Linked DNA regions of Nothobranchius furzeri. The protein of the gene in region 2 binds, or shares a complex with, the protein of the main gene of each other region. Links are inferred from orthologs where the notes say so. Each region holds a gene or a part of one and is shown on either strand. Other genes may lie near its edges.

What was found. The genes of interacting proteins can lie anywhere in the genome.
Region 1: the proteins of golga4 (region 2) and arl1 are in contact, whole or in part, in a crystal structure (PDB 1UPT), measured with the Homo sapiens proteins. The link is inferred for Nothobranchius furzeri from reciprocal best matches to the Homo sapiens genes GOLGA4 and ARL1. Residues at the interface, in NP_002069.2 of Homo sapiens: Thr2173, Glu2174, Glu2176, Tyr2177, Lys2180, Val2181, Glu2184, Glu2190, Thr2193, Lys2196, Val2197, Thr2200, Val2201; in NP_001168.1 of Homo sapiens: Ile49, Gly50, Phe51, Gln64, Trp66, Ser73, Ile74, Pro76, Tyr77, Cys80, Tyr81, Ser83, Glu115.

Annotation. Positions count from the first base shown.
Region 1 is NC_091741.1:56,892,177-56,896,206, forward strand, and holds the start of arl1 (ADP-ribosylation factor-like protein 1), read right to left. Parts: upstream 2,801-4,030; 5' UTR 2,672-2,800; coding exon 2,668-2,671; intron 2,042-2,667; coding exon 1,904-2,041; intron 1-1,903. Other genes in the region: DENN domain-containing protein 11, read left to right, coding at 3,335-3,725. UniProt on the Homo sapiens protein: GTP-binding protein that recruits several effectors, such as golgins, arfaptins and Arf-GEFs to the trans-Golgi network, and modulates their functions at the Golgi complex.
Region 2 is NC_091752.1:16,173,372-16,176,793, forward strand, and holds the end of golga4 (golgin subfamily A member 4), read right to left. Parts: intron 1,254-3,422; coding exon 1,167-1,253; intron 1,071-1,166; coding exon 1,056-1,070; 3' UTR 501-1,055; downstream 1-500. UniProt on the Homo sapiens protein: Involved in vesicular trafficking at the Golgi apparatus level. May play a role in delivery of transport vesicles containing GPI-linked proteins from the trans-Golgi network through its interaction with MACF1. Involved in endosome-to-Golgi trafficking.

The sequences.
Region 1 (4,030 bases), on a different chromosome or scaffold from region 2:
AGACTTATAGTGGATCCATAGTATATCTACGGTATATACTACACTATATTTATAATGTAAAGCGCTTTGGAGTCCTGACTCTGAAAGGCACTATACAAGTATGAGTCATTATAATTCTAGTTGAAACAAAACCAGGTGGAGTCTCCAGACCATGAAATCTATCATCGTATTTTACATCTCCTCATATTCACAGATGAAAAACACAAATAATCTGTGTCAGACTTTAAAGCTAAACTTGACAGATTTAGTGCCCTTTGTGACCCCATTTCAAAACTTTCATTACTTTTTTTTGCTTATGTTTTCATAATTTAGAGTTTGATGGTATAAAAAGTTTTATTCTTAAAAATAAAAATGGAAAAGACTTATTTTGTGGGGGAAAATACTAAAAAATAGGTTTCATAAGGCTGGCTCTACACATTCAAATCACACGAGTCTCTTGCTGATGATTACTCAAGCCATCTTATCAGAAACAATGTGCCACATTTATCATTTTAATATCACACTAGTGTCCTGCAATATGCTTTGATACAAAACTGATAAGACAACAAAATATCTGGGACACGTCTAGTTTGTCCCCAATACTTTTCTATTTTATTAAGATGAATGTCCTCCAGTGTTGAAGGACTTGGACATCCTGCACTCGCACCACAGAAATACTTATTCACAAACACCTTTCATTCTGCACAAATAAATATCTAATTATCATAACTAATTAAGAAGAGTCCTGTAGCATTACATGGTGTTAGCAATTATAAATCAAGCACACTTTCAAATGTCTACAACAGGACATTTGTGTATTTATTGGTCATGAAAAAGCCATTTCTCACATTAGCTTTAATCAGAGACGTTTGATCTGAAAGTTTCAGTTTGATTATTTACACATTGGTCGATGTATGTACATCAAGTCCAGACCAAATTAACTGACGCAAACACTAAAAATACTATATTTTTTGTAATCTTTTCACATCCCAGGAAAGATGGAAACTTTTCTGGAGTAGGGCTGGGCGATGGCCTAAAATCAATATCACGATAAATTGAGGATTTCACCTTGATAACGATAAATGGACGATAACTACAGGTATGCGCAGAAACAAAAGTTTTCCACTAGAGGGGGCTGCCACAAGTATTACATTGAGTCACATTTTTACGTGACACATGGTGGAACAGCTTGTTAAAGCGACATGAATGTTGCCAACCTACACATAATTCTTCCATTATTTTATTATCAAATTTACTGACATGGGAAAAATGATCTCAATAAGAGTCAGAAATTTCGATAATGATAAATTTTTTATTTATTGCCCAGCCCTACTCTGGTGTTGATCAAATTTTGACACATGACCAGCAGGACACTGTATACAGGTCAGATGAAATATAAACCGAATAAAAATAATTTCAATATTCTAGCGAGGGCGCCAGACCTTGCTCTATGTTACAGGTTTCCCTGACTGCTTCTGAAAGAGTTATTGTCAGTTTAAAAAAATAAGCCAAAACAAAAATTCTGCCTTATTTCTGTGTTATATCAAACTGTATCTTGGATCACTGGCATTAGGCAAGGCAAGGCAGCTTTATTTATAGAGCACATTCCAAACACAAAGGCAATTGAAAGTGCTTTACAATTATCTTTAATTTTATATAATAATTAATTAAAACTCTGAAGTAACTTGCATCAAATATAAATATAAGAACTCATGCTCTGTAAAAATCGTAATAAAAGTACATCCTTGTGGAAAATACCACAATAAAATTCAAGCATTTTTAAGGATTTAAAGCATTCATAAGATCTGGGTCTGAAGATGCTCTTTGGAAAATAATTATAATCTCACTGGTATTAGCTGGTTTTCTAGTGATTGAGTTTAATTTAAAAAAAGAAACGAAGAGAAGGAAGACAAGCAGTACATACTAGGTATTGTGGTGACCACCTCTCCAACCTGCAGCCTGTACAAAATGGTAGTTTTTCCTGCACCGTCCAAACCCAGGATCAGAATCCTCATCTCTCTGGTACCAAACAAGCCAGAGAACAGACTAGAGAAGAAACCCCCTGCAGAGGAAACACGCAAAACCAGAATTAAAGTGAATAGATTTCTAAACTTGGCTTTATGGGGCTGACCCATTCCCTTAATATCTCAGTAGATAATGACACAAAGCAACGTGGATCTTACTCAATGAATACAGAAAATGTGGAAAAATATAAGTCTCAGATTTGAGAATACTTAAAATACCTAAAGAGATTCTTGAAGGAAACCAAGTGTAAACTAACGGCTATACCACTAGAAACCCTTAAAATACCTACTAAGTGGTCTTGTTTTGGCACATTTTACAACAATCTGTGGCTGAGCAAGCTAGCGGATATTAGCTTGCCTGTTTAAAGTTATCACGTTTTCTAACCAATAAAGTTAAACATCGTTGCATATGGAACGGCATTGGTGGTAAGCAATATATTCAAGCTCCCCGCATAAAAACCTAATGAAAACGATTAATTTTGAAAGGACAACGCACGTCAAAATTCACTGTAGATGTTAGCCAGCTTAGGCTAACTGGCGTCTCCTATTGCGTTAAAGGGCTGGGGCAGGGATGAAAATTCGATTTATCACTTCTTACAAGAGTAGTTTGCATAAAACAAGTGAAAAGTATTCACATTATGTTCTAGGAGTATATAAAACTCACCCATTTTCGTCAAAAGCGCGGACCCGATGAACTGACAGGTTAGTTCCGTCTGGTTGACGTGTCATTGCAGGAAGTGATCAACGTTCGCTTGAGTTCACTTTCGCACATTCGTCACACAAACAACGTCACCATCTGTAAATCAACACAACAACTACATATTTAACAAACGTAAAATATATTCTTGAAATAAAATATAAAAACGTTATCTTTCAGAACATTGAAGTTTCAAGTGTTTGTGTGCACCTCGTAAAAAATATTAATATATTTTAATAGAAAGTGCGGCTCGTCAAAATCTTCACAAGCCAAGGGACGCTCGGGGATGGGGTACGTTCAAGAAACGCGATTGAATTTGCGCTTCGAAACATCCAATGGTTGTTTTTCTTAGCATGTGCGACAATAAATGTATGGTTTTGAACGCAACTTCAGCCAAAAGGAGTTGCCCTTTCTGAGCAGCATCAAATTTATGATCTCCAGTTATTAGAAAGAATTTGCAACACTTCATGCGAATTCAGAGCAAAATGTAGCCATTGTGAACAGTTAGAAATAACTTTGATATGTATGAAATGCAGTGAGATTTAATTATCCGCGGGTGGACTCGGTGGCTGTCGCCTGAGACATCGTTTACCATAGGCGGTGAGAGACCGACAAGGCGGCACCACCGAACAGGATGGTGGAGCGGTCGGACCGAGCCCCCCTGCTGGACTGGGAGGAGGTGCCGACAGCGGAGAAAACCGACGGAAAGGCACCTGCGGTCCCTCACGTTAAGGAGCGGCTGTCCAGCCCGCCCAACAACCGAGCCCCTTCAGGATGCTCTGGGTTTGGGTGGAGCAGCGGACCAGGGGGTCCCACCAGGACTGTGTCCAACGGAGACGGCTGCGGTGCCCCACCCGCGACCTCCGGCGCTCCGGCGGCGGTGGATGAAGCGCAGCCTCCCGACAAGGACGCGCATCTGTCGGATCCAGGAGCCATAGAGGTGTCTCTGGAAGACAGGATGGTGAAGTGGGAGGAAAAGGACCAGATTGTGTCAGTCTTTGTAGTTACATTTAATACCAGAACAGGTGAGACACAATGTGTTTTATGACATTATTATAAATATAAAAATTAAGTGATGATTTTATATGTGACAGACAAAGAAAACAGGAGAAGTCTCTGCATACGTCTCTTACAGGTGTGGCTTTTTCCTGATCTGACCACAAGTTTAGACATCACTAAAAGTCATGACATCTTAGCCTGATTGCAGAGGAAATGCCAGGAGTGGTGATGAAAGTCAACCAGCTGATGGCTTCAGCAAAGTTGACCTTATGCGTTCTTATTTAAGGACGTTTAAAACCCTCTATACCTTTTGAATCAGGGGTAATAATTA
Region 2 (3,422 bases):
AGTAAGAACAACCCTATAAGCACCCCCCAGTAGAAGTATAAATTAAGGGAACTAATGCAAATGAAAAACTGCCACTTATCTGCTGACTGGAGCAACGTTTGAGTTTTTACCAACATCCTTGCAGACTGGATCTATTCAGTGATGCTTTGTCACCGATTCTGTTCTTGCATCACTATTTCCTGCAAAACCCACTCAGATCTTAGCCCCAAGGAGAAATAAAAACCAGCTTTTCACATCAGACACATGACCAATGAGATTAACTTCTATTTAAATGCCTGCATTTCTGTATTCATCAAAAAGTATACTAAACAATAAGAAAAGTAGTTCTAACATTCTCAAGAAAAATATTACAAACATGATGTGGCATCATCTTTAAAATGCCGATTTCTTGTTGCATGCATTGCGACAAAAAACATTAAACTGTGAGCAAAAAGTAAATAAAGACAATTAAAGTGTAAACATCGTAAAAAAGGATAAAGTGACAAAACGTGATTGGTAAATAGTTTCATATTGTATTTATTAGTCTGAAAAATGTGAAGCAAATCACTAAATGCCCTATATTACAGTTTGTCTTTTTTATTATACAATTTACACTCTTGGGTTTGGATTTTTTAACCATTTTAAAATATAAAGTGTAAAAAAGCTGTGAACAAAAGAGGTCCAGAGACCAGAAGGTTAATTTAGTGCAAGAGCAAAGTTGAAGGGTCCTTTACAAAATAACAGGTGTGATTCAGACAAGAGCACAAAACAAAAACATAGAAATCAACCGACTGTCGGCGTCAGTATGCGAGATCTTTTATTGCACAAGCCAGTCTGTATAAACACAACAGGAAAGCCTCTTACCTTGATCTAAAACATAAATAAAATTTATTTTAATGTAGATTATGGAAGATTTTCATGTTTCTGACAAAATACCGAATTCCCTCATACTGTACTCACTCACACACGCACGCTCGCGCACACACACTCATAAAAAATGAAATATGGAAAAGCGCTTGATATACATCATGGCTGTCTTCTCCTTCAGCAGCAGCAGAACATCAGAAGTCAGACGCTCATCGTAACCAAGGCTGTGGAGGCATGAAGAGAAGATTAATGCTGATGGAGCTACTAAAACTCACATCTGAGGGGTTTACAATGTGCTCGGATCGTAACAAGATGCTTACGATTGTTTTTGAATCCTCTTTGTCCAAAACCTTCTGGGCTTGGTCTGGAGAAAACTTCAGCATGGAAGTAATCACTTTGGCCATCGTCTGTAGAAAACAAGAGCAGTTTCCTTTTAGGAAAACGTTGGATTTTCCTTTCACAAATACAAGATTTGGCGACTGTTATCTTTTACACATCACACAGATCAAATCAGAGCAGCTCTGAGACAATTAAAGCATGAGAAAGAACAAAGGAATGAAAATTATCTCCATAATCAACTCCAGGCCCGTCTGCCACCGAGCATACATTTCCCCATAAACTGGAAGGATAATCAGAAACAGGGCTCCTGAGTAGGAACCCGCTTGGCTAACGATGAACACGGCCAGTGTGGCTTTAAATGGCAAATCTGCGTCATGCAGGAAGCTTGTAGGCAGCCTGCAGCACATCCTCCACACAGGGGAGGTCTGCCGTGCTGCCATAAAGAGCAACTGTTTGGTGAGGAGCAGGGAGAACCCCGCTGAGTTTAGGACCCTGCAAACAGCACACTTAAGTCAGGGAGATCCCTGTCAAGCATCATAACCAAGACTGAACACAACCTGACTTTTATACGGTGTCTGAAAGGGCTGTGAAGGCCGTGCTGCAGACAGAGGTCACTGGGTAAAAACTCAGACAGACTCTTTAAGCCCATGCTGTAGTTCTTCTTTAAAACACAGAGCAGTTTTGTTGACCCGTTTTCCCGCTACGTTTCGTTTGCGGCTGCAGACTTCCTCAGGCTGAGGAAACGAAACGTAGCGGGAAAACAGGTAAACAAAACTGCTCTGTGTTTTAAAGAAGAACGGCAGCATGGACTTAGAGATACGACACAGCAACAACACACCTAAGATGTTCAAAGAAAAATACGGACGACAAGGAACGAAAGACTCTTTAAGCATTATTATGGACTTGGTGATTCAGAATCGTTTCATTTGTAGGAAGAGAATTTGTCCCAAATGTTTTTGAGTGAAACTACGTGAAGTTTTTAAACGTCATATTCACTTGTTTATCCAAGAAATCTGCTGTATAAATTAATGAGTTGCTTTCTGTGGGGGGAGAAAAAGCTCTGGTGCTCCTGTTTCAGGAAGTTGAAGTTAGTTAGAAGATTGTTTTTGGGGGCGGAGCAAAATTTAGAGTCCATTACCCATTTACATTCATGACATGCAAGCATCTGGCCTCTACTTGGCTAACAGCAACGTGACTCTTCCGCTGCCTTCGTTCACTCTTCTATCTGAAAACATTCATGTATTCATCAGCCTTTGGATGTTTCCTATGCTGCACCTTCTGCACTGTAACTGCTCACCCTTTAACTTTAAAGTATTTTTTTCCAGATTAATCTGTTCTCATTTCATTTGTGTACTTTGATTGTGCTGTCACGTTACTTTGATGCTCGTGCTATTCTTGCTAATTCAAAGCACATCGAATTGTCTCTGTGTATGAACTGTGCTGCAGAAATAAGGCAGCTTTGCCTTTCTTGTGTAAATAACTCAACGTAGATGTTTTATCTCGTCAAATAACACGAGCCTGAATGCTCCACCATGTTGTGGAGTGGCTAATGGTTAGCTTCTATTAGCGGAGATGCTATCTCCTGGCTGCAAAATCAAAAGTGCTTTTTACAAGATTCACTGTGCCGGCAAACCGGCGTAATATTGCAACAGTGCCTTATAAACGCGCCGTGCTGGCATGACGATGGGTGAATTTTATGGCATTTGTTCCACCTTGCTTAGTAGTAACATTGCAGTAAATGTCTTATAAATGGCGATTGCGCCTCGGTGCAACAGAGGGAGGTGTCATGATGACGTGGGGAGTTACTGCAGAGTTCCGGCCGACAACTATATTGAAAATTAAAGTAAAAACGGCAACCTGAAGCAATGCAGCGCTCCTGGAGCTTCTCTCCATTAGAGCCGGAGGTCAGATCACCAGAGACTGCACAGGGAATGTGGGGAACAGACACCTTTAGGAGCGGCTTGTCAAAAAAAAAAAAAAAAACGTAACGAGCACGGCTTCAATCGCAACAAAAAGCAAGATCGCCATCGCCTAATCTTTTGTAAAAAGGACACGATTGCGCCACATTACTGCCACGGACTGACCACTCAAACAACCTAAGGCTCCCCAATGCCGCCATGGCGTTGTGGCAAATTGGCGGCATTGTTTTGTAAAAATGGCTAACAACAGCCTTTTGTGGTAGCAAGCCAAGGTGGGCGGAGCCATGAATACTCATTTTCCCTGTGACAAATAGAGAA